5 linked regions of the Kluyveromyces lactis genome follow. The protein of the gene in region 4 purifies or fractionates together with the protein of the main gene of each other region. This does not show direct contact. Links are inferred from orthologs where the notes say so. Each region holds a gene or a part of one and is shown on either strand. Other genes may lie near its edges.

Region 1 (6,353 bases), on a different chromosome or scaffold from region 4:
CTTCTTTTGTTTCTTTGCATTGTCTTTCGTAGTAACAGTGGAATCATCGACAACCTCAACTAAACCATCCTCAGTTTTTTCTGATTCTAAGTCTTCGTCTTCTTCTTTGATATATTCAGTATCGTCTGTAGCTATTAACAGTTGATAAACGTTCTTGTTGAATTCTTCTACGATATGCTGTCTTGAATTTGCTGGCAGTTCACTGTTCAAAATGCAAGATTTAATACCAAACTGTTCTAAAACTAGCTTTAGTCTGTATCCTCTATCGATATTGTTAACGAAGATTAATGTCTTACCCTTAATTAGTCCCAGTTTGAAAATCACATAACACAATAGGAACTTATCAAATTCTCCAACCTTCACATAATATTGAATAAGCTTTGTTTGATCTTTGTTGACTTCGTCGTCATTAAGTTTCAAAATCGCTGGTGAACGGCAGAATTGCTGCTTCAAGTGTTGGATATCGTCATTTAGAGTGGCACTCATCAAGAAAGTTTGTAAACTCTTTCTCAATGGTAAGCGTTCTGAAATCTTCGTAAGGTCCTCTTGGTATCCGAAAGTTAACACCAAATCAACTTCATCGATAACCAAGAACTTCAACCTGTCAATATTAACATCTTGCGCATCTAGTAAATCTACTAACTTGGCCGGCGTAGCTATCAATATTTCTGGATTTTCGGTAAGTAAAGATTTCAATAAGTTTCCCGATACATTACCCGATGAAAGATTTAAGCATTTAATTTCTTGAGAACAGAAAACAATGAGCTTTTCAACAACTTCTAAAACTTGCTGAGCCAATTCTCTAGTTGGGACCAATATTACCCCTAGAGTGGCACCTTCATCATTCTGATCTGCCTTCTTATGATCTAAAATTGTTTGAATCACTGGTATCAAATATGCTAAAGTTTTACCAGAGCCGGTACTAGCTTTCGCTATGATATCCCTTTTCTCTTGAAGAGCTAATGGTATCGCACTGGATTGGATCAAAGTAGGGTGTTTGAAGCCGATACTGCGGATGGCTTGTGATAAACGTGAATCCAAGTGGAACGAATCGAAAGAAGAAGAATCATCAATGTATCCCTGGGAAGCGCTTGTTTGAGCCATATTGAAGCGTTTTTCTGGACTCTAGCTCTCGTCGAACACTTTAACTATAACCTCGGTTGTAAGTTTCGATCAAAAGGTTAATGCTGCTGATAGTTGAGACCCATTTAGCCTGTTTTACAGCTCTTGTACGTTCAGACTCTGGATGAGATGAGATGAGCTTCCCAAAAATTTTCTTGAGGTGCAAAAAGAAACTACACAGGCAAAAGGATTTATGAGTCACGTGATTGAGTTATCTTGTCTCTTCTGGATTGGCAATGTGAATGAAATACCTCACTGTAGCTCTGATTTTGCCATGGTATTGGTAGATTGATTTAAAATTTACTGTTATAATGAGAATATATATATATATATCGCGTTTAGTAGTTTAGTAAATGGTTTTTTGTCCTCTTGGTGTCTTTTGTAACTTGTCGAAAACGATATGTTCATTCAGTTAATTGAAACTTGAATGCATCTTTAAAGTTTTAATAGATTATTTAGTACAGAGGAACACCTTGGCAAGATGGCAGTATAGGGTTGAAAAGTATATAGTTAATGCAAAAAGATGATTAATGACTAGCTCATATATAATCATATCTATATATGAGACAGATTAACACAATGGGGCCACCAAGTCGGAGCCAATTTTTAATAAACTCTCTATTCTACCTTTCAATGGATTAGAGTTACATTCTTCCACAACCATTTTTGAGAAGTTTATACATGCTGTTGTTTTTCCTAAGTTGATAGTGCCTTTTATTTCTTCTTTGGAGTCTTCCTCATTCAAAAATAATGTAAAAGTATCACCAAACTGTTCCTTGAAAACTCTCGATATGTTCTTAATTTTAGTCGTGTGATCATCGTGTCCATGATGATGTCCACATGACTTCGAACTCATTTTGATACTTGCTGGAGCGCTCTCGACACTCAGTAGAATTGCCATGACACTATCCGCGACTGAATCACTGATAACATTCTGAGTCCATTGCAATGTAGCTACATTGTCAACTATATTTAATATTACATCTCCCATGATTTTTATTTCTAGTTCACCCTTCTTTATCTTCCTCGTCTTGAATTCGGGATTGATGTTCTTCAATGAGACGTTTTCTTCGTCAATGTATACATCTACGTCACCAAACATTTGGCAGATATGCCAATATACTAGTTCGCTTTTACAGTCCAAGTGGACTGTCTGTCTTTCTGTCAAAACTGTAGTAGATAATTGTTGATAATGTTCTCTTAAATCTGAAAGCGAAACTAAACTTAGATCAAAATTCTTCTCATCTGACACCAATATACCTGAAACTATTTTCTCATTTTCTTCTTTGACAATTTCCGTTTTACTTTCCTCTGTTTCTGGATCCTCTTCATGGATTTCCGTGATTCTTTTCTCATTCTTTAGTGCGTCTTCTTCAGTTATAAACTCATCGAGATCTTCAATAATTTTCCCAACTGCCCTGGCAACCTTAACATCCTTGAACTCAATATCAACAAAGACACAATTTCTAGGATTGAAAACATGAACCTCGTTTTCAGTATCCTTGAGAGAGCTGAAATTAGAAAGAAGGGCTGATTTTAAACGACCCATTGGGTTGGATTCGCCATGAACTAAAATGATGTTGCTAGCTCCAATTAGCTCGATAAATTCTAAATTTTCCCTAAAGTCAACATGAGCAGCGAATGTTATTTCATCCACTTGGCAACGTCTTGGGATAGTTATCTCAGGGTTGTGTACCGAGGGAATAGCCTCAGGTTCTAGTAACAAATATTTTGCCATTGTACCTTCTACAGAATAACCAGTGACAAGAACCAGATTTTTTTCTTCTGGACACCATTTTTCTAAAATGTCTCTAGATAGACCGTTTTGCAACATACCTGGGGATGCTAACATGACACTGGGACCAAAATCCTCGAATTCATCCAAATTCTTGAGGTAAGAAATATTCTTGAAGATGAATGGATTTGTTTGAGAATCTTTGAATTTTTTACGAATATCGTCATTCATCATATTAACATATGTCTGAAAGACACTCATACATTTCTTAGCAAGATTTGATGCGTAAAAGATAGGTACTTGCCCGTTTCCGAGTTCTTCTTTGTGATTCTGCCAATATTCGTCTAATATAAGCATGATTTCTTGAGCTCTTCCAAGGGCAAACACCGGTAAAAGAACACGTCCTCCCTTAGATACCACGGTATGTATTAACTGGGTCAACTTTCTTTCCCTGTTTTGTCTTGGTTCGTGAGTAGCGGTACCAAATGTACTTTCCACAATTATGACGTCCGAAGACTGAGGTGGTACCTCAGCAGAGTTAAGGTGACGGTCCACTTCTCTTGAATAATCACCAGTAAATAATACACGAACACCAGCGATTTCAATTTGAAACATCGCTGCTCCAAGAACATGACCTGCATGGAACGCTGTAAATTTAATACCATTTACCTCCATAGTGGAATGATAGTCAATAGTTTCTATCCTATCAAAGGACTCAGCCAAGTCCTCATCAGAGTATAAATTATCATTACTTGAATCCTGTCCTGGACTGTCTCCTATGCTGGTCACCTTGACGAAATCATTCAAAAGCCAACGATATATAGCTTTGGTCGGATGTGTCATGAATACTCTACCACGAAAATTCGTTCGTTGCATCACATAAGGCAATGATGCCGCGTGGTCAAGATGAAAATGTGAGATTAAAAGAAGATCGATTGTGGAGAGATCGAATTCATCGTAATAGGGCAATGAAGCTAAACCTTGATGGGCCGGATGGATACCTGCATCTAACATTAGAGTCTTGCCCTTATACTGAAGTATATGACACGATCTCCCCACTTCATTGGATCCTCCTAGTGAGAAAAAGCGAAGATGGTCCTTGTCTGGAACCTCATTTTCCAATTGAGTCATTTCTTGACAATGCAAAGGACAGACAAAATGCTCTCACAAACACGTCAAAAGTTACTGTCTGCTTGAGCCCCCCGATATCTGTTATGAGTGCCCGAATACCAACAGAGGTTGCTCGGTAACCATTGGACAGGACACTCTTCTTTATGTTGAATTGCTAAGATTTTCAATAAACGTTAACTGGTTTTAATGTCTTACAGAAAAAAGTGAGAAAAAAGTGAGAAACTAGGAAATAGCATATTGGTGTACAGAGGGAGTAGAGGTAGATATTGATAACGAAAAGTTAGTAAAGAGAGGGCTGAAGGCAACCTAAGATGATTTGAGAACACATCTTGATAACAAATGTCGTTACGTACTGTTTCTAGTGAGAATCTTGCTGCTTGTCGGGTTCTAACACCTATCTTAAACTGATTGTTTTCCCTTACTATGTAGATGTTGAAATAATAATATGTAGAATTTCTGATCGACAATATATCAGAATGAAACAAAGGGTAAAGGGAACAGGATAGGTCACGTGACTAGATTTATTTACTTGGATCAGGTCACATCTGGCTAAATTACTGCAAGTGTGTTGGTAAAATGGAATGAAACGAATTAAACTGCAGAATGTATGTAAACACAAATTTTTTTGCTAGATATATATTACAACTAAAAACGAGTGAATACTCTTTGAATTAAAAGGAAAGAGTAGAATGAAAACGAAATGTTGTGGAATGACGGAAACATAAGACATTAACACTTAGTATGAAAAATGGTTGTATTTTTTTCTTTAATTACGGGGAATATCCTCTGTAGAGGTGTTCAACGTTTGAATTGAAGGCTTCAAGTGAGGAATCCATAATCGTCGTTAACGGTCCAAAATTCTTCAACGGGAACTGACAACATAGCTTCCAATTGCTGTTGTTGTTGCTGTTGCGGTGGTCTTTGACCTTGCTGATTATCTGGTTGATTGAAGTTCATATTCATGTTGGTAAATGAAGAGTTTCTCCAATTCAGGGAGTTATTCAGAGTGCCAGGATTGTTGTCTCGATTGGGCATGACAAAAGTCTTTTGATCATTTGTTGTCGCTGATGATTGTAAAGATCCGTTTAGGTTGCCCATATTGTTGCCTCCATTCAGTGGATCTACGTAATGATTACTGTTCATCAAATCCAAAACCGAGTCGTTGGTCCATGTGGAGATGTTGTTGATCATCGTATGGGTACCATTATTGAAGATTATACCATTATCGTTCGGCCTGGGTGAAGGACCGACGGAGAATGATATTGGGTGCAACGGTGTGTTAGGAGACTTTACAAAGTTGGCTGGTTGCTTTTTTTGGAAAATGTCTGCATTTCCGTGTTGCCAGCCGGTTGGGGAAGACATGTCAGATGAAGTTACGGATGCTTTATTATCAGCACCACCACTAAACAGTGAAGGATGATTCTGAGTGATGGGATTTAATGAATTTTGATTTTGTTGAGGGGGCAGAGTAGTTGCTGTCCTATTATTCACATGAGACCCCATCCCATTGGCAGATTGCATCATTTGCGCATTGTTATTCTCGAAAGCACCATTTAATGAAGAAAGGTAGGCCTGTAAATTTTGCTGCGCTTGATGTTGTTGCAAAAATGCTTGCTGCTGGAATATTTCCCAGTCGGATTCTGTGACATTGGCAGGCTTCTTGACAATGTATTTGTTCCTGGCAGTGACTTGTTCTGGTGGTGTTACCATCTCAGAAGTGGAACGAGTGTCGACTTTGCTTAACTCATCGGGGCTATGAGCTAATGAGGCTTTCGAAGTCGTTATTTTGCTGTCATCGATTCCATCATCTTCATCCTCTACCTTAACAAGCAAATGTGATAAAGATTTTGGAACAGAAGTCTTTTGAAGTACACCTTGTTTACGCTTTCTTTCTCTTTGCTCTTCCAGATCAATTTGACTATTTTCGACAAACCCAGCATGAGCAGATACTTGCAACTCTCCAAACGTTCTCTTCATTGCTGGTGGCATCCCCTTTCTATCTATATCTTTCGAAGTTTCATCATTGTCAGCATTCCTATCTGGAATGGATATTAGAGTAGGAGTAGTCTCGCCCTTTTTAGAACTGGTGACGTAAATTAGTTCCGAGGAATCTGGGCCACAACGTTCGATTAAGTTACCTATGGTTGCGTTCATCAATTGGTCGAACGTATCCCTGAAAATGATTGCAAATTTTGATCTTTCAGCCATTACATACAAACACACAGAACAAGCCCTTAGATCATCCATCGTAGAAAATAGTAGTGCGCTGACAAGAGGTCTAGTATGTTTGGAAACATCACCTAACTTCCTTCTTCTTTCATCATCCCAATTCCTGGCTAGCCACATACAATAAATGGATGTGACA
Region 2 (5,652 bases), on a different chromosome or scaffold from region 4:
CGTAGTTATCCTTATTGAACACGTTCAACTGCGAGAGAAATGATCGACTACCCGACATCTTGAATGTTCGTCTCGTTTCAGCTGTGCGATGAGATATGTGCTTTATGTCGTATGCGATACACAAAGGTTAACCGATTTGAGAATAACGAAAGCCAAGAAAAGAAAAAAATCTAGATATCAACTATTGGTATCGTATTTATACAATGAAGTGGCCAACTGGCGTTGTCCAAATGACAGATATCGATACATAATCAAAAAACCACACACAACCTTGGGATCAAAAGCTATTAGTAACCACAGTGTGAATTTGAATATTCATAGTTTTACACAGTTTATGTCTTCTACAAGCTCATTGTAAAAACCAAACTACTAAGTAAAGTCTTTAATGTGCTAAAACTAATTATATCAAGTAGTAGCATGCCACAGCTTCCTCTCATCAAGAGAACCAAAAACAAGAAAGAACGAAACAAGGCTTATAACTGAGAAGTGCCATTCAAATAGAGCCCTTCTGTAGCCCAAAACCGAATTAGCTCGATGGCACAATAATTAATACAAAGAAACAAGGGTACAAAGAGGAAAAACGAAATAATTGCGTCAAAAGAAAGCAAAATCCAAGTGCTGGGCGAAATGAAAGAAAGTAGCCTTTCGAAAATGGCCCTTAAATGGCTTCTTGAACCTCTTTGACAGATAAAAACCCTTCACAAGACACTTGTTACCTAAGTTACCTTCAAATTTCAACTTCTTGTTTCTTTTCCTTCACTCCCATTACTCGATCTCTTTCTGTCACGTTGCTTCTTTCTTTTACTGAAAAGTGTGGCTTTCTTTCATCACTATGGGTGTATTTGTAAGTTAAACTTGAAATAGGAACTTGCCTGTTGAATCAACAGCGGCTGAACCAGATGATACTGTTCGGGTATCGGTAACGTCTTGTTTTCTCGGATTTTATCAGTGTCTAACTGGCTAACCTTCTATCTCTTGTGGTTTTCCTTTGACTCTTTTTGTCCGCATCTGTCAATTATGTATCAAGATAAGGCACATAGCTGACTAAAAATAAGTACCAGTTAAACATATTTGATGATAGAACAAAAATATTCAGATTAGAGATGGTAGGTTTATGCAAAACAATGGGGTATGTGGCGGACAGCTTCACTATTATAGTAATGATCTGTTCTTTTCTGTGATATGAGACGTTTTTTTTTTTTTACTTAGTTTATCTAGTGGGAAAGTTGAGTTTATGTGTCGCGTTCAATGTAGAGAAACTTTTGTTAATGACTGGGGCTAAGGCTTGAGGGGAGACTCACGTTGCCTTGGCCATGATGCATTATGCGAACCCTGAAGAGGTAGTATGAACGGATCGTAAGACTTTCTATGTTGTCGCAGTCATTGGGTCTTCGGTGATAGCATTGGTATTACTGTTTGCTGGGACATTTGATGATGGAGTGGAATTAGCGTCATTTACTGGGGAAGAAGAATTGGTGTTGCCACTGGTAGTAGTAGTAGACTTGCCATTGGACGGATCGGATTTAGGTCTTTTACTCTTTTCACCACTTTTCTCCGGTTTCCTCTTCTTGCTGGATTTCACAGGACGTGTTTCCCCCTCTTGGTAGACTTCATCCGGTAAGTCATGCACTTTCACATACTTGATGATTAAAGAATACGTTTCAGGGTCCTCATAGTCGGGTAATGAGCGACACAAATTGAAAAATTCTTGACATGGAATGTGTATATCAATTTTTTTACTCTCTTCTGTGTTGATGTCAAGTCCAATAAACATCGTGGCTATGTGAACTTGATTAGAGTTTTTGGAGGCTTCATCGTCTTTGTTTGCATCAGTTATTTTTGTAAACTTTTTCAATACACCTTCTGTCTTATGTGTACCGTAGTTGTTCATGATCTCTTTATATTCATCCTCATTATTGTATATATAGCTGGACTCGTATGGTTCAATAAATGGATGCGCCAGATTGATTCCTGGTAAAACTTCTAGTTTTTGGACCAACAATCTGAGCTTACTTTCAACGAATCCACTCCATTTCAAGTGTTGTTCGTCGGAACCCTTTGTTGAGACCATAACCGTTAGGTAGAATTTATACTTGAAGAAGAAATCGTGTTTCTTGAACAAATCTTCCCATGATAGTTCATTAGAGAAAATCTTTTGTGTGACCTCTACACCTCTTTGTAATTCAGATAAGATCACTTTCTTAGTTGACTCACTGATGTTGTGGGTAGCACACATTGAAGGGTACGCTGGTGTAATCACAGGCATCTTGTGGGATCTATCCTGTGCATATATTTTGGGGTTCCACACGCGGACCTGTAAAGGACCATCTTCGATTGGCTTCAATAGGACAGGTTGTGGCCATTTCCAACGTGATAAAATCTGAAAGAATTTTGATATTATTACCGCACTGCATGCATTAGGGTACAATTGGCAGATTCTTACCACAAACATCGCCCATGCGACACCACCGGGGAACCCAAAGACGTTTGCATATACTGCTCTTCTCTTTGCCCATATCTTAATAGCTCTTAATGCAATCTTGAAAGATGTTTTATTAGGCACTAATTCTAAAATTTCATCGGTGACTCTGGTACCGTTCAACGCTCTTAGATCCTTTTCATCAACGTTCCTTAACAAATTCTTATCACTTAAAGTTAAACTTATTGGAACCTGGGGTAAATCTAGTTTAGCAAAGATTAAATCGATGGAGATTCCATTGAATTTGATCTTGATAATTGGGACGAAAGCATCTGGAACTGACGCAATTTCTTCAAGTTCTGGTCTTTCCCTCAACAGAGCATCGAATACGGTAAAGAAATCTTCTCTGGATACATGTTTAGGTACCACAATCAACGTATCAATATCGGAACCTGGACCATGGACCCCTAATCTATAAGAACCAAAGGTAAATACTTTACCACCAGCATCACGAGCCATACCATCGGACATGTTTTTCTTCTTTGAAACCTGATATACAAACTCTTGTGTCAATTTTTGGAAGATTTCTAATACTGCCACTCTCTTCCCAGTTTCTTCCTCCGTTTCGAAAGAGCCTTCTTTCTTAAGCTGTTGAATTAATGAATCGTTTAATGCGTTTTCGGCAGCAGTGGGACCCTCCGTGGAAATCGGGCCCGTTACACCAAAGATCTTTTTCTGGGACATTGTATTGGGATAATATTTGTTTCTGTAATCTGGTATATTTCTATTCCTTGCTCTATCCAGATAATCACTTCCCCCGGTATTTAAAAGGCTGTCCGCGGATTGTCTTCTTGGAATGTAGTTCTGAAACTTCTTTGAGATTGGAGACGATGTTGGTGAGTTAGCCGGTGAATAATAAACGTAATGTAGCCCTGGCTGATTGAAATATTGTTGCTGATGCTGCTGTCTTTGATTATAATGGTGGTGATGTTGCAAATGATGCTGATATGTGTTTCGGCTTGTATTGAGATTTAAATGCCGGTTTCTTTGTCTGGAGGGAGATGATCCTACACTATCAGATTCTGAACTTTTTCCCCCTTCCTCTTCTTCTTCTATTAGCCCTACTGCACCTAGTACTACCTCAGAAGTGATATCACAACCGGAAACCTTGAGCCCTGCAAGATCCGAGCTTATTGAATTCAACTGGTCGCCAATCACCGTCCTTGAATTATCGTAAGTGTCCTTGAAAACCTGTGCGTCTTGTACTGAAGTCGACAACCTGAATGAGTTTTGACTTGCTACGTCTTCCTAGATCAGAAAGAACCGTCAAAAGTACTCCTCACAAGTTAATTCGTGATGAGGATAATCAAATAAGTGTCGGATGTGTATAATCTCCGAGAGTTAATACACCAAAGTTCCAATGCAAAGGCTTTTTTCAGTATTTGTGAGTCTGACACTAACTTCTTTTGTTGTTGTTGTTGTTGGTAACAGGTGACCAATATCAAAAGATGTGCTCGTCACTAATTTGAACTAAAAACGTAACTAGCACAAACTATCCAGTTATATTCAGATAGAGAGAGACTGTGTGTATATGTGTGTAGACAAAAAAATCAGCCAGTTAATATTGTATTGTCTGAGAATTCCGTTTCCCTTTATTTCTTTCCTTTACCAATTCTGTCTCAGGAGTGTCCAGCGAATGAAAGAATTAAGAAGTTCAATTTGAAGGTACTGGCAAGTTTGGACCAAAGGGATATGTAGTGTTGGTTTTAACTTTAGCTTCTCCTGTTCACACACTCAAACCAAATAAAAGGTATAGTAAGTTCAAAAGTTCACACTTTGTTATATTATTTCATTTTGTACTAAATTTTTAAAGCCAGAAAAATTCAAAATCGATTTCAAGACCCAGGAAAAATCAATAATTACGTGAAAGACCCCAATCATAAGAATGAGCGAGCTTGAATTTGCAAATTGTATGTTCAATTTCCTGTAAATCTTATCCAACAATAATTCAATTGGAAGTATATGCATATATATAAACGAAAATCCAGATATGGAAGAATCAAGATATTTGATGATTACAAAACCTTTGTATTTCGTGTGTAGATCTGTAACGGCATCCGAAAAAAACAAGAAAACTATCCCATTGACAGTGAAAGTCGGCCTTTATATGGGCCCTTGTAGTTCGTTTGGAAACTCTTCTCCCCGTTAATTTGAATAAGAGGCTACTGGCTAAATAGGCTCACTGACTGTGCTATCTATTGGATACGATCTGGATCCAGTTAGATTGGCAGATCTAACCATTTCCGGGTAATACTTGGTTTTTTCTAACTTTTGGTGGCGAAAAAGGGGAAAAACAAGAAAAACATCAAATCAAAATCAATTCTAGTCAACTCGAGAGAGATATTCCAAATATCTAGAGAGATTTATTTTTATATATACCTTTACTACATCCAAAGTTAATCGGTTAGGTCAGAGATATATTTTGAATTCTCAATTTGTAATTGTAATTGAGATCAAGCCCAATACTGTGAGTAAATAAACTGGCAACATGGATGAACGTTTGATTGCTACGATCAATAAGTTACAGGATGCTTTGGCTCCATTAGGCGGCGGTTCTCAGACTCCGATTGATTTACCACAAATTACCGTTGTTGGTTCTCAAAGTTCTGGTAAATCTTCTGTGTTGGAAAACATTGTCGGTAGAGATTTCTTGCCTCGTGGTACCGGTATTGTTACCAGAAGACCATTGATCTTACAATTGATCAACCGTAGGGTCAAGAAGGAGACTAAGCATGCTACAGAAGAGCTGTTAGATTTGGATAACAGTGCAGCCAATGGTGGTCAAAATGAAGACAATGCAGAAGAATGGGGTGAGTTTGGTCATTTGCCCGGTAAAAAGCTTTTCAACTTTAACGAAATTAGAAAAGAGATCGTTTTGGAGACCGATAAGAGTACCGGGAAGAATGCAGGGATTTCTGCGGTTCCAATCACTTTAAGAGTATATTCGCCACATGTGCTAACTTTAACCTTGGTCGATTTGCCCGGTTTGACCAAGGTCCCTGTTGGTGATCAACCAGCTGATATCGAAAGACAAATCAAGGATATGATCTTGACTTACATCAAGAAACCTAACGCTATTATCTTGGCAGTGAACCCAGCTAATGCTGATTTGGCTAACAGTGATGGTTTGAAATTGGCCAGGGAAGTCGATCCCGATGGATCAAGAACCATCG
Region 3 (6,021 bases), on a different chromosome or scaffold from region 4:
AATCACCATGAGGTCAACATTTTTTTTCTTTCTTTCTTTATTTCCGCAATGGGTTACGGCGAACCTTTCCTCAGCGAAAGAAATCTAAGGAAAATAAAGATTTGAATTCAAATATGAGCAGGAATCAGAGATACTGAGCGAAAGTAGTAGAGGAATCAGTTAAATAAAAAACAGATTGAGAACAGCATCATAGAGCGTGTTGATAAAAAAATAGATCCTGAACGGAAGAAGGAACTATTCGGATTGAGTGACGAACCATATACCAACTTTGAGTTTTTATTTTTATTTGGCTTTTGGTTTCTAGCATTTAGCATCAGAGAGCAAACTTGGTAGATACAATCTTTTCAATAAAAATGTCTAACCCATTCCAAAATATTGGTAGAAACTTTGCGTATTTGTGTATTGGTCTTACTGCTTCTATAGTTATCGTCAAGACCGTTGTACGTGATGCTAAAGTTTCCAAGTTCGACCCGCAGAATTTGAGTGGGGATGAGAAGAAAGATGCAGATTCTTATTACGCAAACCCTGCTCTGGTGAAACCAGGGTTCCCCATGAAGAAAGAAGAAGAAACCACGGAAATAAAAAGGAAAAGTGAATTTGAAGGGGCCGGTTTATCCTACAATACAAGAAAGCGTGGTGATAGATTAGGGTTCTTGGATAGAAGAAGTAACGAATGATTAATAAGCAAGATTTTAATTCTGCAAGGCAATACACGAACCTACCCATCACACTTATTTATTAACAACACACACAAACACTGCAATGACTAAATGAAACAATCTAGAAATATATCCTGTTCTTTACTGAAAGATTCCTCATGTAAATAGTGCTTAAAGAAAGTGAAATAAAATACAAACTATTGATATCAATATTATAATAAAGTTTAGCTAGGTAAGAAAAGATAGGCCGAGCACATAAGAAAGATACGGATTTTTTTGATTGAGAAACCACGCAGTCACACCGGTTGAAATTGAGGAATATAAAACAAACAACAAATGAACTGAACTTCTAGGATGTCTAACGAATAGATTCGAAAGCAGAGACAATCCGTTCGTTATTAAGGAAGACTTTATAATTTCTCAGTCCAGTAATTTCAAGAACGCAATATCTTATTTGGATTCTTCAAAATAGTCAGCCATTTCCTTGTCTAAGTCTTCCAAAGACTTCTTTTCTGGCTTAGCTCTTTTCTTTTGCTTAGCAGCAATGGCTTTCTTGTTTGGACCGGCTGGTTTCTTCTTAGGTTGAGGCTTTGTTGGAGCTGCCTTCTTGTTTGGCGCGGCAGCCTGAGCATTCTGTACAGGGCGGATTCTGTCCAATAATGTCTTTCTGCTTGGATCGACAATCAACGTCAATCTCAATTTGGATTTACCACCATCAATTGGTGCGTTGTGGAATTTCTTTACAGCTAAGTTAGCTTGTTCTGCGTTCTTAAAGGTAATAGTGGCCATACCAGTGGAGTTACCCCTTTCGTTGTAACTCAACAAAGCTTTTTGGACACCACCGACTTGATGGTTGAAAAATTCCTAGTAATAATAAGGGAGCAAAATTTTTGTTAGTGAAACTATTCATAGATAACTGAAAACAGCGGAGTCTTCAATGAATAGTCCTGTAGGAAATCATTCATGTTTACAATTCATCATACATGTACGACCCGGTCAATTCTGTCACGATATGAAGTTAACTCTTAAACAGTAAAATATACCACAAATGGGTTTCATTAGGTTTCGATTTGAAGGTAGGATCTAACATGACAACCAACAAAAAGTAAGTATACTATAACTTTTCTCTTTTCTATTTTTTTTCTTGGAGAGTAAATCTGGAGTCAGTGATGAGATCTCAACCAGACAAGATAGAACATGTTCATAGCAGAATGACAAATGAAAATCGATTTCAAATCCAGCATACCCATCTCGATTTATTACATTCATTGAAACTTGCTTTTCAGTGGCGTTTCAATTTTTGCCAATTTTTTTGAAGTTGTCAAACACGACGACCTTGCTAAAAATGTCGCACTATCTTGAAGATTGAGGCATCAAGCTAAACACACACCAAGGAAGAGGTCAAACTTAATTGTTCCTACAAGGTGTACACCAAGTAATCTTCTTCAAATTCCCAGTTCTTTGCAAAGAGTTAGAAAAAAGAGAATAATACACTGGGCATCATTAAAAAATAGATGCATTGCCAAATGTAATAAATGGTAACAGAAACTCCAGTGACACATAATGTCACAAGAATAGAAGATATGACGAGAAAAAATAGATATACTTCATCTTTTCGGCATTTCCCAATCGTGATTCACTACCGTTTCTCCATCAAATAAAATGTCGTAAATAAACGAAGTTCAGTGCATAATTTTGATGAAAAGTTCTGTCAACTTAGAGGAGAAAAACGGAAAGAAATCACAAAGGAAGGCTTGCTGAAAAGCGAAACCCAGCCAATTGGATAGCTAATTTCGTTTTGTTATATTTCATTAGCTCAATAAAAACTAACTCTGAAATAAATTATTCACACATCAATATCAGACCTCAAAAAAGGTATCGATCGACCGTTTCTTCTTAATCAAATACACGGGAATGTATGATCGTATAGTAAACATAAGGATGGAATTCCACAGGATATATCCGTTGTAAACTTAAATTAACCGCAAGTCTTATTGCAGTTTGATCCGATTTGTTTTCGCAATCAGTACAGTAGCATCTCGACAGTCCTTTTCATTAGAAAAGAACCTACTAAGAGGCCATGGCTAAAATGGGACATACTTTAACAGCGTCTTGGTTAATGTCTCTTGGCAAACCCTCGACATTAACTCTAGTAGAAATAGGAGCTCTTAGCAAAGCTGGCACTAGGGCAGCAGCAGAAGCAGCCTTCTTTGGAACTCTAGAAGGACCGGCACCTGTTCTGGTACGGCTCTTGTTGACTTGCTTAGAAACCTTCTTTGGCCCGGCCTTGTTGTTTCTTCTGGCATGCTTGGCTGAGCCAATAATTTCATCTAATGATTGATCTAGAGCAGACATTGCTTATGAGAGTGTAAAAAAAAGAATCTGATGGGTAGCTGATTCGAAGGAAATAACTTATAAAGTTGCTTGCCTTATGAAGTAGAAACAAAGAGAAATTTGAAGAACAACTTTCATGGAAAAAGGGAAAAAAATTCCAATGGGCAAAAATCTATGGCTCCTTTTATACAAAAAAAATCAAATATCAAACTTTTTGTCCAATTCTTTTCAAGAAAATCAAAACCAGCACGATCAACAAAAGAGGGTAACGATTGTCATTTTCTAAGATCTGCTGCATATGTAACGGTGTACTTACTTCATTCCTGACATGATAAAGATTTTTGTGAATAACAGTCATTTCAAAGACTAAAGATAATGCTCCATAATTTCGTCGAGGGGACTCATTTGTTTCCAACAAACATCGTTTAGCTTTATTTCGTGAATTGTAAGGCCGCAACAACTGAAAAGTAAAATCCGTTGATATATAAGATAGACAGCTATTCGATCAATCTTATGTTCAAATGGATCGCTTCCGCAGATAGACCCAAGTAGGCTGTGGCGGGAATCTTACAACGCTTAGTATCCAAACATTCTTCTATGCCTTCCTGTCATAAGCGAATAGAAGCCGAATTGAATCCATTTACAGTCCGGGTAATTTCATGATTATTTCACTGTTAGCGATATTATTTGGTTCATTTTATTTGATCGGTTCAAAAAGAAAGACGATGATGGGTCAAAATCGTGCTATTTTACAGCGAAATGATACAGACGTCTCACTGGCAAGTTAAATCTCCGAACGACGGTCAGGTGGTAAACGGACTGACTCTGTAATTAAAGAGGAAAGACCGCGCGTTCACCAGTTATGAAACACTCTTCCAAGGTAAAAACAGGATTGAACTTTCACCTACGACAATCTCAAAATGAACACACACACTCTAACCCCAATGTTCAATTTATAATAGCGGCAGAATTTGATAACAAATCTGGGCCGATAATAAAGCATCAATATCCAAAGACAATCCCTGGTTTTAAAACTATTGGGAGTGATTCCACTTGTTCTCATTTGGCCAGTTTGATGATACCGAATAGTGTGGAGAACCATCCAGGTAAACCAGATTTCACTGTTTTTGTCTTATACAAGAATCAAAACGTTTACCAGTTGTTTCCTGTATCCAAAAATAAGACTAAAGGTACTGACTTGGATTCCTCACTGATAATTGAAGAGGAAGACTTTGAAGAAGAACAAGAAAATGGACTGCGAAGTGGTAAGATTGGATCAATTAGAGATGATAGGCATTTAGAGGAAACTGAGCCACCATTATTTTTCTTAAGTGTCGTGAACACGTTTTTAGATAATTCAAATGATCGCGGTGCTTATATAAAAGCCATTGCACTGGGTACTACTATGACAAACTTTTACACATTTAAACCATTGTTAACAATGGTGCTTGATCACTACATGACATCGAATAACAACGATATTAAAATACTTATAGACTGTTTTGACATGATTAACAGTCTTGATCTCTCTTTGGTCATAAGATTCCATTCCAATGTTGTACTACAAAATATTCTAAACTCTATCAATGACGAAGAAATTACATCCAAAATATTTGATGCAAACGAAAACTCTTTGCCCAATATACTTAGGGTTAATGAGCTGCCCAAAAAAGACAAGTTCGGAAATGAGATTCAATTTAAAAACAGGATTCTTGAATATAAGTTCTCTACTTTCCGTCCCAAAGTTCTACCTGCTTATTTTACGAGGATTCCTTTGCAAATTGATCTAATAAAATATGATGCCATAAAAATAGATACGAATTATAATAATTCAATTTTGAAATTACTTGCGAGATTAATTCCTCTCTTAACTGAAATTCCCGATTCCACATATTCTTGGAGATTAATTATTAACTCCACAGAGCGTTCCAAGGATGAATTATGCCAATTTGTACTCGCCCTATCCAATCTCATAAACGGGTTTTCTTCGGAGTATTTTGATAATTCCTCTATTTGCATTTTTCCATACATGGAAATATCAATAATCGATATGTTCAGAGAAAACTTCACGGAGGAGTTCACGAAAGGGAATTTTTTCAGTGTAGTAGGTGTATCAAACCCTATTTTCCAATACCAAGTTGATGCATGGGACTTTTACTATGACTTGGATAGTGACTCCTTACTTAACTCGAAGGCGCTACCATCAGAAGAAGAAAATGCAGAGAAAAATCTGGGGATTAGATCAATGTTTAACAAATATACCACCTCTCAGGTGCATCCACTTCCAGCAACTAAACAGCCGACCCCTAAAAGTGGTTTAATGTTGAAAGTCATAAACCTTCTTGTCAAAGGACAGCACGACAACGAAACTGTACTAAATACCTTCAAGCGTGCGAGTATCCTTCAATTACTCCATCTAATAGACGGTGACGGTGATAAAGCTAATGGAGTGGAAATGGTGTTGAAGGACCAGTATATTTTGAATTATAAAGATCTAATACTCTTTCCTGATATTTTCGAATACAACTCCCTGAAAGTTCTCAATCTTATACACAACTTGGAAACTGATATGTCGAGATTGTTTTGGCCTACTTCAAACTACACTTACCAAACAAGAAAACGTTTGCTTCAGGATTTGTACAAACATTTGAAAGAACTCCACAAATTCATTTCAATGAACAAGAAGAATCTAGGAAAGTTCCTCAATATTGCGATGAACTACCCCTTGGTTTCTGCTTTTGATGGCCTTGATATAATGGGCGCTAATCTGCGAGACGTTGATCTCGAGAAGTTGTTATCTCATGAACGGTCAAATATGAAGTCAATCGACTCTCTTTGCGATGTACATCTTCCTGGGAACACTATTGATCATTTCAACACGTATAAATCGTTTAATCTCATTTTGTTCCCGTTATTTTTGAATCCTCACAGAGAAGAAGATGATACCAACTATATCACCGAAATTGGGCCACCATTGGTTTCAACACGCCCGTCAACTGGCAAATACTATAATTATCAATCAGATTCA
Region 4 (5,627 bases):
TTGATACTGTACTTCTAGAATCTAAAGGGTCCTTTTCGGCAGGAACTGCCAAGGAGGCTGAAGTGAACAATAAAGATAAAACTGAATCGATAAATAATGAGCAGGCTCGAGAAAAGTCACTAACAGCTGCTCATGGAAAGCTAATTAGTAAGGTAGAAAAAGACCTTGTAGAAATAGAGGCGTTGAACAAAAATGTAACAGAGCGTTTGTTTGAGATCAAACGGATTAAAGATAGGGAAGTAGAGAATCATCCTATAATAAAGCAGCTCAGAGACACACTTGAAGGTGAAAGAGCTCACTTTGAATCACAGTTGGCACTTGAAAAGCAAAAGGTGTCAAATTTAAAGGCTGCTTTACTGAGCAGACATGGAAAAAATGATATCAATGAAGAAGTTAAGCCGGCAGCTCCTTTGGACGGAAAGAAACTTGAAGAACTTCAAGCAGAACTGTCTAGCACTAGGTTATATGCACGGGCTCAACATAATGCTGCAAAACATCTCCAGACAGAATGCTCTACTTATCGAAATCTATTATCAGAAAAGAAACATAAGTATAATGAGTTGAATTCTAAAGTTGCACTAGCTTCAAAACAGTGCGCACAATTGCGCAGCACGAATGCACATCTTCGTAATAAACTCCAGAGTTTAGAAGACGTGGTTTCAAAAATATCATCTAATACAAAATCAAAATTGAAACCGTCAAGCTATGACAGCCAAAACACACAGCGTAGTATTTCTGGTGGCTCAGAAGTGCAGCAATCATCATTGACTCCTGCGCAGTATGAACAAAATGCCCCAAAAAAGCTACCAAAATCTAACGGGGCGATCACATATATTGATGAGAATGAAATTTTAACTAAAGACATTCTAAACGACGAAGTAAGGAAACTGAATATGACAGTATTAGATCTACAGCGCAGAATCAAAACGCTAACAAAACTTGAAACGAATGTAGGCCCTTTGAGTGTATTTTGTGAAAAAGAAAAGTTATCAATACGTGATGTAGTGGACCGTCTTCACTGGATTAAGAGATTAGAGTCAACTATTGCAAAGATGGCTAATGAAAAAGCGGACATGACAGCTAAAGTCAAGGATCTTGAAACAGCGTTGAGTCAGTCTAAAGAAAAAGTGGACCGTTACGAAGAATATTCGTCAAAATCCCAGAAAGTCGATAAACCTCGGCCTAACGGGGAGGATCCCGTCGCACTCAAAGAAACCATCGTTCGGTTACTGAAGGAACGCAAGAAACTTACCGCTATTTTGAAGAACCAAGCTGAGTCGAAGGAACGTGATCCGAATTAAAGCGTGTCGAGATAAAGAATTCCCGTAAGAAGAAAAACAAAATCCAAAGCACTTCTATGCAATAGATAGCCGTAATGAAATAGCATATGTTTTCTATAATGCAGTTGTAACATTTAGGAAGTATATATATATATAAATACCATATAGCACTATATTATATTCGTACTTCCATTTAGAACGAAATTTGTAGAAGAAAATGGTACGAAATTCATGCCGATAAGCCAACTAGAGTTCGAATATACAATTGATCAGCACTAGCTATTCATCAACTCATTGAAGCAGCTCGTTAAAAATACCAAGATCTAATTGAAGATTTTGGAATGATGGAGATGAGGAGGTGTTTGACTGTTGACTTTTAGCTGCCTCATAATAACAAGTGGCATGGAAGAATTTGTCTCCCACCTGTACGCAGTTGCTCCAAATCCATTCTCCCAGATCTTCATCATATTTACCATATGTGGATTCGGTACAAATAGGACACTGGAACTTCATATCTGTGGCATAATCCGGTACTACAATATATTTATTCCTGAGTTTAGTATAGATTGCATCAGTAGAATCTTCCCTGTTGTTCGCAAATGTAGGTTGCTGTTCAGCAGCTCCAGTATCAATATCTGTTGCAATGATGTCTTCTTCTTTAAAGTCTGCCCATTGATTTTCATCCAAATACCAATTCCTGGATTGAATGACCTTGGTAGATGTAGTGGTGTTGGACTGGATACCTTTAATCTTCTTGTTGACACGGAAATGCCAATCAAGATGTTGTATTTCCAACTCCTTTTCTTCAAGAGTATTACCAAATCTCTTACCACATATACTACATTTATTAGGTTTTGCCCGATATAAGAAATGTACCAACTTTTCCGTAATTGGATGGTTATCATTAAGAACAAACTGTTGAGAAAGCTGAAGGACAGATGCGTTCAAAATATCTAGGTTTTGCGTCTGGCGTTGCGCCTCTAGATCACCTAGAATATCCTGTAAAAGTGAATATGACGGTAGTTGCACTGTCTTGGAGGAATCAAATTCAGGTTCTAATTTGGCAGCTAAGGTAGTAATAGATGCTTCTCCAGGTTCATGCAAGAGCTCTTTTTCTCTCAACATGTTAACCAAACTAGAAAGCTTATTGAGACGGTTAGAGTTGGTCAGTTGGTTCAAAAATGGAGCATTAAATTGAAGGCTTCCTCCGAACATCGAGCCGTTGTTACCGTTCGCCTGGAGTGAGCCACGAGACATATCATTGTTTACAGAACCTTGAGATGATGGCGGCAGAAACTGAGAGTTATTTTGTAATGGCAACTGCTGCTGCTGCTGTTGTTGTTGTTGCTGTTGATGTTCTTGCGCAAAAATCTGTTTGAGCTGCTGATGAACTTGCGACAAAAACTCCGGTGCCAACCGTTCCTTCTGCAACTCTTGTCTCAACTGCTTCAATATCGCTACTTTTGCCTGCAACTTGGCGTCATCCGGTGTACTTACTAGCTTCGACTGCGTAATCAGCGCTAATTTATCAATATCCGACAGTAACGATTTCACAGTAATATTCGACCCAGCCGGTCCGTTGTGAGCGGTATGTTGTTGTATCGCCGGCGGAGTAGCACTTTTCTGATGCAACGCACTAGCCTTAATCAAAAAATTCTCGATGCTGTTCAAAGAACTATGATCGAACATCAAGTCTCCTGCAGGCAATGGCACCATCCACGTTTTGAACATTGAAATCATCTTGGTTCTAGTCTGATTATCCACAAGTAAATAAGTTTTACGGAACAATTTATGCAAATTCTTAGAGAAATAGATCGTATACGGAGAACCAGCGTTCTTACAGATAGAATCCATTACATAGAAAGTGAAAAGCTTCTGACTAGGAACACATTTCTCCAGTCTATTTTCAATCAAACCCACAAACTCTTGTGCTAAACTCATATGTTCCTCTGCTAACTGCGTCAAGGTAGTAATTATAGGCCGAGAGTTAAACGTAAGACCATCCAAAGTGGTCTTAAACTCCTCTAACGCATTAGAACCATCTTCAGAACTCATAGAGAAATCCCAACAAAACTCGGAAAAAAGTGTACCAAAATATAGCAAACAATTACTATTACCACAAACTAAGCCTCTGGATACTAGTAAGCGCTCAAATAATGAATCATACGGCCTCTATTCCTTGCCTCTGCTCATCGTCTTTAAAGGTTTCCTTATCCTAATCCTGCATCTTGTAACGTTTTGCTCGGTTGAAAGAAAAACCGAAAACATCACCAGATCCGGGTAACGAAACCACACTTTTTTCTTTTAAAAAAAACCTTTCGAGATATCGATCAAAGATTCTTTCAAGAATGAATCATCACTGTTTTTATCTATCTTGCCTTTACGTGCATCTGGCTCCTTTCTTTCTCGTGCGAAACTTTCAACAACGTTTATTAAGAGTAGAAGCAGGAATCTCACTAGGTGAAAAGGGTCTTTCTTTTAATTTCTTATCCATTTGAACTAAGAAGAGCTGGAAAAAAAGATGACTACCAACGATAAGAAACAATCGGGTTTGGCCCGTGTCTTAGGTTCAGCTTCTGCTGGTATCTTGGAAATTGGTGTTTTCCATCCTGTGGACACTATTTCCAAGAGATTGATGTCAAACCATACCAAGATTGCCTCGACCTCTCAATTGAACAGTGTTATTTTCCGTGACTTTGCATCTGAACCATTGGGTAGACGTTTGTTGTCTTTGTTCCCTGGTTTGGGGTACGCTGCTGCCTATAAGATCTTGCAACGTGTTTACAAGTACGGTGGTCAACCATTTGCCAATGAGTTTTTGAACAAGAACTTCAAGGGTGATTTCGATCAAGCTTTTGGTGAAAAGACCGGTAAAGCCTTGAGATCTGCTACTGCCGGTTCTTTGATCGGTATCGGTGAAATTGTGCTATTGCCATTGGATGTCTTGAAGATCAAGAGACAAACTAACCCAGAGTCTTTCAAGGGTAGAGGTTTCCTAAAGATCATCAAGGATGAAGGGTTTGGTTTGTACCGTGGTTGGGGTTGGACCGCTGCCAGAAACGCTCCAGGTTCTTTCGCTTTATTCGGTGGTAACGCCTTCGCCAAGGAATATATCTTGGGTTTGAAGGATTACGGTCAAGCTACTTGGAGTCAGAACTTCGTCTCTTCGATTGTTGGTGCTTCTGCTTCATTAATTGTCAGTGCACCATTGGATGTTATCAAGACCAGAATTCAAAATAGAAACTTTGATAACCCAGAGAGTGGTTTCAAAATTATCAAGAACACTTTGAAGAACGAAGGTTTCACTGCATTCTTCAAGGGTTTGACTCCTAAGCTACTGACCACCGGTCCAAAGTTAGTGTTCTCCTTCGCTCTGGCTCAAACTTTGATTCCAATCTTTGATAACTTGGTCTCTAAGAAATAAACCTTGGATTCAAATACAAATTCATGTAAATAATGTTATTAATTGCTACTATTCAATTCTTTTTTTCTATATGTATAAGTCTCTTCAAGTCGCTGGAATGATATCCTTCATCACGCTTTGAACTATGCAAAGCTGTTTGAACAAAGGATTCTTGTATTCTTGAGCCATCTTAATGGCAAACGTATCAAACCTGTTGATAAGTTCGTCAACCAGTTCTTCCTGAGACCCGTACATGACACTAGGGTCCTCTTTCGAGGATTCTATCAACTGAAGATGCCAGGGAAAATATCGTTCACATGCAGTTTGAACCATATCGGGAGTAATGAACGAGGATCCAGACGTCAAAGCGATCCATTTACAAAGCAAAGTCATATCACTGAGTGACCTAGAATGTGCTCCTCCACCCTGGCTAGGTTTACTAAGCCTATGCATCCTAAGGTGAACTATTAGGTCTAATATGTACCTTCTTATCGAATGGTGCATATATACAGAGTCCACTATGGATTCTGCGACCACGGAATCCTGCCATTGACCCATATCTTCACCACATGCGAACCAGAATTGATGCCTTAGATAAGGGATCATAAGTGGATTATCTTGTAACACTAGTATAACAGGAACAGTGGATTTGTGCAACCACAGAGCAAACCTATTTTGCAACTCATAATCGATTTCAGCAGTACCACTATACGGTACTAGATAACATGAAATGCCATTCTGCGTTTCAGTATCCGGTAAGCTATCAATACTGCATGATTGTGGGGACGGTACGGCAGGGTTATCCATGTGAGATAGCAGATCGGATATGGACTTTAAACCTTGATCATTAGAAGTTCCAGTGAAACAAACCACATGTCTTTTCAGCACCAAACCTGCACGAACTCCCTCCGAAATGGACACAAGAGACATGGTGAACGTCGAGC
Region 5 (6,378 bases), on a different chromosome or scaffold from region 4:
TCCTGTCTCTTTGCATTTTTCAAATGGTGTTCATGGGTCCCATCCTCGTGCAGGATGAACCTACGGTTTGGATTAGGACACGTATTTGCAGAGGATAGAGTCGATAAGTTTGCCGTTGATGATGCAGAATGGAGCTTTTCTGTACTGGAAGCGATGGATTTACCATCTGATGCTAGATGTTGCTGTGAATTGAAATGCTTATTGTTGTAACTCGAACTATTGATCGTAGAAGTAGCTCCTGAAGCTAGTCTTGGGGACGAAGGTCTGGTGCCATCATAGCGGTACCTTGATGAAAGGGAAGAAGATGACGAAGACGAAGGTGGTGAAGGCGGGGAAGCCGTGGTACCCGTTCCGGAACCTGCAGAAGTCGCCTGTGGGACCTGACTAGTACTAGTATTGACAGAAACATTGTGTCTCGGAAGATCTTCATCAGGAGAAACTTTGGACACACCAAAGAGTTTACCAATCTTAGAGCTAAACGTGCCCTTTCTTGATCTTGTTCTCAGCACAGAAGCCTGCTGCTGCTGCTGCTGCTGCTGCTGCTGTAAATGGCCTGCCTTTGGCAGGCCATCAACTGGATCTGATGGATTCCTGGGTATGGAAGCAGTAACTGCGGCGGCAGGTGCTGGCGCAGCTGCCAGCTGTGATGGCAGCGTATCAATGCTCATCACCCAAAAGCAATAAAAAAAAAAGATGCAATAATTTGTATTTGTTTCGGAGCGGCTGGAAAATAGCCAAAAAAGATTGGATAAAAAACCGGCGGTAGCTTTAGAAACTGTAAGTTCTATTCAAATGCAATAAATTGATAATGTGTATGTATTTTGTTGTGCTGCTTGTGTTTTTTTTGAGCGAAGAGATGTGTAACGGTGTAAAATTTATTGCTCAAAATACAAAACTTGTATGAAGTAAAGCAAATTACAACTGAAATTTAACCAAATAAATAAGTAAATGAAATAAACAAAAAAATAAAGAAAATATGCAACTCTCAAGCGAATTAACAAGCGAGCGCTCTTTTCGAAGGGGAAAAACTTTAAACAAAAAAAACTTCTCAGAGACTTCTCAGAGGAAAAAAGAATCTTTAAGCGGGAATTCCAGAAAAATTGCAACAGGTGAGAAATAGGAAAGGAAAAAAAAACAACAGATAGCAAAAGGGGAAAAAAATTAAACGACCCCGGAGAGGATTGAACTCTCGATCTTGCGATTAACAGTCGCACGCCTTAACCAGCTTGGCCACGGAGTCGTATTTGTGGAATATCGGGATTTTCTGAGTTTCATATTCGGGCTACCTGTTGTGGTATATGACTGTACATGTCACGTGGCTTAGATCTTGTCAGATCTTTATTAGAAGAATTCATCTTGATTAGCTATCTATCTCCTAGTAGAATTAGATGCACCTGGTGTCTGTAGATCTGATCCCTACTAATTAGTAGATTAGATCTGAGTACTGGTTTATATACTTTGCTATGTGTCAGTGACACAAAACTATCATTAACCGCCTATTATATTGGTATCACCCGGTCATGCATTATGACTAGTTCCAACGAAATCAGTGTTCTGCAACCGTTGAGCGAACCTGTAGTGCAAAGTTTTTCTATTTCTCAAGTACAGATCCGCGATAGTTTAATGGTTAGAATTCGCGCTTGTCGCGTGCGAGATCGGGGTTCAATTCCCCGTCGCGGAGTATATTTTTTGCCCTCTAACCCCCCCAGATAAAGAATGCCAGACCTAGAATAGATGTTTGAATCCCGACATACATACCCCATTGGTCAGCTCTACAACTGATCTATAAATGCTTTACTACAATGCTAAATTACTATAATTAATTAATATCTAAGTCGATGTCACGTTTATAGAAAGCTTCCGCGAACAATTTAAACGTTGGCTAGCATGTCTGACACTGCCGATTTGACCTTGTAAAATACGTCCGATGGTGAACCATCAACTATGGTTTCGGCATCATTAATCTTCCGAACCAAAACTTTGCCATCAATCACTAGTGTACCTTCACCTTGGAACTCAGCTTTATGATTTTCCGCAGTTAGTCTTCTTTTCAATTCCGGTAGTCTAACATCTCCGATTCTTAGAGAACTTCCAGAATGTAAAGCTAACGGGTTGCTTAACGGTTTCAATATAACCTTCTCCCGATGTGGGGCTTTTGGGTCAGTTTCTGTCAATAGTTTACCAACAACGTGTGCCACAGTGAAAGATTTACTGATTCTTTGCCAGTTTAGAAGTTGGTCGAGCGATGGATCGATAGAAATATCAATTGCCTTGACAGATGTATCCATCTCAACCGAATTATTGAACTCAGTCACCAATATGTCAATATTTCTCTTTGTTAGATTAACCACGACTTGGTTATCAACAGGAGCAGCTGATGGCAGCACAATGACTTTTCTTGGTTTGATTGCAGGCCAGATGATTGCTATCGACCGCGCATTAACTATGCTTGTCAAGTCGATATATACCAAAGAACAACGAATGTTAACTTTTGTTTCCACAATTGCTCGTTTATAAATGTCACTTTTCAATGGGTCCAAGTAAGAAATATCATCATTATTTTCTTGTTTCCTAGGATTATGATCTGTTTTTCTTTTCTTTGATTTATTAATCCGCGAATCAAGTACCTCATATGTATCATCGTCATCGTCTTCATCATAATCGTTATTACTATAAGATTGCTTTAAAGATTGTGCTTGGTCATATGATTCTTCCTGTGGTAAGAATCTCTTTAAGTTGACCACATCACCGTAATCGTCAGATTTAAGCTTTGCTGGATGGAATGGGAACATAAGGTGCTTTTCATTTGTGGAAACACTATCATTGGAAGTAATATCTACGGGAATCTCCACTTTAACGTTTCCCGATCCATTCTTGCCTCTTGCATCCATTGAATCCACACCTTCTTCGTCGCTACTCTCATCATCAACATCAAAAAGTATTGTTTTTGTTTGAGCTTTGTCATTGGTCTTAGCCGTATATTCTTCGATAATTTTCTCTCTTACCTCATTTCTAGTTTTAATCATTTCTCTCACCTTCTCCGCATCCTTCTTGTTTAAAATTGTTCTCTTCATGATTCGAAGTGACATCGAATCAGATATGCTAATGGGGTTGCCATCCAATGCACTTCTACTCCCATTCTTTATTGCTTGTTGCCATTTATCATTAAGTTTTCGTAAGGGATGTTGTGCTGGGGTATTTGGATGTCTCTCTGTCAATATGATCGTTACTTTATCTTTAGAGCAAAGTTTGTTTATCGTTTGTGACAAAATATCATCAACTTCGGAAACAAGACAGATCTTTTGCCCAGTGTAACCTCCCAATTCCTCAGGAGTAATAATCCTCAATCTAGATACAACATCGAATGGAGACCGATTGTCTCGAGATTCCCAGGTCTTGATTACTTGCGAGGACAACCATTCTAACATAGATTTAGCATATGTGAGAGAACGGCCCCTTGAATAAGATATTAGAAACACCGGAATATCATACTTCAATCCACCCCTCATATTTTCATATAAGAAATTGTTAACTAGGACTAGTACTTCCAATAGTTTCCCTCCTACTTCAACTGGTACCAGTAAAGAGTTATTCATTTGTATAGCTCTTTTCATGGTATCAGTGAAATGTTCTACTCTTTTCCTCTGAGGTTCAGCTGAGCCTATAATAGAAAGGTTGGTTATTACAGAAGTCGGATGCATCATGGAACTGGTTGGATTTCCAGTATTGTCTAATAGGTCCGCACTATTCAAGATAGTATCTCTTGTATGGTTCCAACGAGGCGCATACAATATTTTTTCTGATGAAGTGATTATCGTCCAAATGGTACCACCGGGAGCATACCCTGAGTTATGTGCTTCTAATGAGAGCCCATCGAATTTATTCTTTAAATCCACCGTTTGAGAGTATTTCACCGTTTCAATCAAGTCAAAGGAGCTTTCAATATCTTCTAGGTCCATGACGGCATTAGAAAACGGTCCTAATATCCCAACTGAAGTTAAAAGGTCAACACTGTTGACTCTGCCTAGATTTGATACAGGTAACGTCCCATAAACTTGAATTCTCGACCTAAAATGAGGCAAAAACTGTTTAAACATCATGGCATAGGACCCAAGGCATTCAATTGTGGGCTGGGAAATCAGAACAATGTCAACTTCAGATATGTACTGCGTCCAAAACTCTTCACATTCTTCATAACTGCCTTCACCGTTCCATCCTGGGTCCAATAATACTATTACATTGTTGAATCGTACAATGGTTCCCTCAAACCGCTTCTTCTCATCCCTACATGTTTCGATGGTGTATGTCATCTTGAGAGCACAGTTACTTCTATATTTGAAAAACAATGAGAATCCACTGGTTGGAATGGGAAAGGAAAAGGTGTCCTCAGTGCCGGCAATCTCTTCTTCTTCTTCCTTTATCCTTCATTCTTCAATTATTTGCATGTACTGTTTAAATGAACTTAATGTTGATGCCTTGAGTATCATTTTGACATGTTATGTCCGGGTAATGAGATATAATGTCAGTAAGAAGGATTAAGAGGCCAAACTGAGACAGGGAAGTTGTTATTGGACGAGATACTGCTGCAATCTGTAGGTTGGTACGGTCCAGTAGGTGGAATATCAAACATATTTCATTGCTTACAATTATAGGCAACAAAATCCACAATTTTATCGGTACTTTAAGTGTCAAAATGTATTCCGAACGTTCTTTGAGGTTGAGTCAGCATATTAAAGAATAAAGCGACAGATTACGGAACAGATTGCTCAACTGACCCAAACACTGGAAGAAGTCTAAAGGCATCTTGGATATACCAGCGTACTTGAAATCAGTTGAATTATAAGGACCTAGTTTACAACGTGCAAGATAAGCTGCATTAGTTGACACTTTTGACAGATTTGCTAATGATAAGAAGGAGGAGAAGAAGATTTAAGGGTACAAAAGTAATGAGTCTTCCGATCGAAATTATTGATCGTGTAGTAACTAGCGGACTAGACAGTCTAGAGAGTCTGTTAGCATGGAGTAAGGTTGGTTCACATTTTAGAACAATTATAAAGCGCAAGCTTGGTGTATTGAAGATTTGGGATTTGGATAGGGAATCATCAAAAACCTTAGCAGATCCTTGCAATTATGAGTTGTTATCTGATGAGAGAAACACCGCTTGCGTAAATACAGATACGTTCAAGTTTCCTGTGTTGAGCGAATTTCTACGGAAGTTTGACAACGTTCTCATTGTCATCGTATCCGATCGCTGCTACAGTGACCCATTGGCGACGGCATTATGTGAATTAAGTAGAGGGCTAAGTGGGATGGGTACTCTAAAGAATCTATGCTTCATGTATAAGACGACTACCAATTTCCTTTCCAAGTTCTATTTCAGAGAGCTAAGCCATTGTCAAAGCCAACTACGATTATGTGAATTACATATATTCGCCAACCGAGATATTAATCACCAGGAAGTTGACATGTTTGATATCGACACGATATTTGAGACTACTTATTTACATGACGTGGAAACGCTGTTCACTTTGAACATAAGAAGGGGTAAGAAAGTGATTGCACCTAGGATTATGACAGTGAATCAATTGCAATGTGAGGATAACACTACAATAGTCGATGATCTACAATACTGTCCCCTGCTTAAAACGATTGAAAAATTCCAAGTGCCACCAGGAAAGAGAGTTGTATTACCACCATGCGACCATTTAACTCTCGTCAGTTACAATAGTAACACTGAAAGGGATCTTGTTGATGGATCCTTCGTGAGAGAATCTTTGACAATCAGGGCATCCCCAATGTGTTCAGAAGCCAATTTCAAGAACATCAAATGCCGCAACATTCGATCCCTATGTGTCGAATTTAGTAACAGTGTCTGGGGTAACGTCAAGTTCATCGATTGTGCTTTTGGGAACCTAAGGTCTTACAGGTGTCCAGTGAATACAGAATGGGAAGATTTGGTTTATTCAAACTCAATTTACGTTGATACAATCATATTCAAAATCTCAAACATGCTGTCACTACAGAACCTCGCACAGATCCCATTCACGTTGGACAACCTCGTCTTGAATTCAGACGACAAGGAATTGAAACCACCAGAATGTAAGCCGGATCAAATGAGAAGCATATACGGTTGTAAACAGGTAATCCAAGAATTGAAAAGGTTGGAATTCGAACTTTCAAGCATCTGGGACTGCGCCGTATTTCAACATGTGATCATTCCAAATCTCACAAATGATTCTGAATTGTGCCTTACGATAAACGAAAGTCACATAGCAAGAGAGCTAGAGAAGGCTCGTGAATGGGACAGATCTTTGTATCTGCTCGAAAGTTTACAACTAGATTGGAATCGTAATAAGATACGGTTCTGTATCCCTAAAT

What was found.
Region 1: the proteins of PCF11 (region 4) and YSH1 purify together in Saccharomyces cerevisiae (affinity purification with mass spectrometry; 4 studies listed by BioGRID, with this or other methods). This does not show direct contact. The link is inferred for Kluyveromyces lactis from reciprocal best matches to the Saccharomyces cerevisiae genes PCF11 and YSH1.
Region 2: the proteins of PCF11 (region 4) and PAP1 purify together in Saccharomyces cerevisiae (affinity purification with mass spectrometry; 3 studies listed by BioGRID, with this or other methods). This does not show direct contact. The link is inferred for Kluyveromyces lactis from reciprocal best matches to the Saccharomyces cerevisiae genes PCF11 and PAP1.
Region 3: the proteins of PCF11 (region 4) and YRA1 purify together in Saccharomyces cerevisiae (affinity purification with western blotting; 3 studies listed by BioGRID). This does not show direct contact. The link is inferred for Kluyveromyces lactis from reciprocal best matches to the Saccharomyces cerevisiae genes PCF11 and YRA1.
Region 5: the proteins of PCF11 (region 4) and CFT2 purify together in Saccharomyces cerevisiae (affinity purification with mass spectrometry; 4 studies listed by BioGRID, with this or other methods). This does not show direct contact. The link is inferred for Kluyveromyces lactis from reciprocal best matches to the Saccharomyces cerevisiae genes PCF11 and CFT2.

The regions. Positions count from the first base shown.
Region 1 is NC_006039.1:417,898-424,250, forward strand, and holds YSH1 (cleavage polyadenylation factor subunit YSH1), read right to left. Parts: upstream 3,989-6,353; coding exon 1,694-3,988; downstream 1-1,693. Other genes in the region: DBP9 (ATP-dependent DNA/RNA helicase), read right to left, coding at 1-1,104; KLLA0_C04620g (uncharacterized protein), read right to left, coding at 4,808-6,353. UniProt on the Saccharomyces cerevisiae protein: Component of the cleavage and polyadenylation factor (CPF) complex, which plays a key role in polyadenylation-dependent pre-mRNA 3'-end formation and cooperates with cleavage factors including the CFIA complex and NAB4/CFIB. Has endonuclease activity.
Region 2 is NC_006038.1:1,160,776-1,166,427, forward strand, and holds PAP1 (polynucleotide adenylyltransferase PAP1), read right to left. Parts: upstream 3,164-5,652; coding exon 1,367-3,163; downstream 1-1,366. Other genes in the region: MUP1 (Mup1p), read right to left, coding at 1-58; dynamin-like GTPase VPS1, read left to right, coding at 4,968-5,652. UniProt on the Saccharomyces cerevisiae protein: Polymerase component of the cleavage and polyadenylation factor (CPF) complex, which plays a key role in polyadenylation-dependent pre-mRNA 3'-end formation and cooperates with cleavage factors including the CFIA complex and NAB4/CFIB.
Region 3 is NC_006041.1:253,952-259,972, reverse strand, and holds YRA1 (RNA-binding protein YRA1), read right to left. Parts: upstream 3,015-6,021; coding exon 2,760-3,014; intron 1,524-2,759; coding exon 1,110-1,523; downstream 1-1,109. Other genes in the region: COI1 (Coi1p), read left to right, coding at 354-677; AFI1 (Afi1p), read left to right, coding at 3,856-6,021. UniProt on the Saccharomyces cerevisiae protein: RNA-binding RNA annealing protein. May have a role in pre-mRNA metabolism. Component the TREX complex, which operates in coupling transcription elongation to mRNA export.
Region 4 is NC_006042.1:1,242,845-1,248,471, forward strand, and holds PCF11 (Pcf11p), read right to left. Parts: upstream 3,336-5,627; coding exon 1,572-3,335; downstream 1-1,571. Other genes in the region: KLLA0_F13420g (chromatin-silencing protein SIR4), read left to right, coding at 1-1,301; GGC1 (Ggc1p), read left to right, coding at 3,802-4,704; MTC2 (Mtc2p), read right to left, coding at 4,789-5,613. UniProt on the Saccharomyces cerevisiae protein: Component of the cleavage factor IA (CFIA) complex, which is involved in the endonucleolytic cleavage during polyadenylation-dependent pre-mRNA 3'-end formation and cooperates with cleavage factor NAB4/CFIB and the cleavage and polyadenylation factor (CPF) complex.
Region 5 is NC_006041.1:1,061,225-1,067,602, forward strand, and holds CFT2 (cleavage polyadenylation factor subunit CFT2), read right to left. Parts: upstream 4,311-6,378; coding exon 1,872-4,310; downstream 1-1,871. Other genes in the region: serine/threonine protein kinase SAT4, read right to left, coding at 1-668; KLLA0_E12035g (uncharacterized protein), read left to right, coding at 4,947-6,378. UniProt on the Saccharomyces cerevisiae protein: RNA-binding component of the cleavage and polyadenylation factor (CPF) complex, which plays a key role in polyadenylation-dependent pre-mRNA 3'-end formation and cooperates with cleavage factors including the CFIA complex and NAB4/CFIB.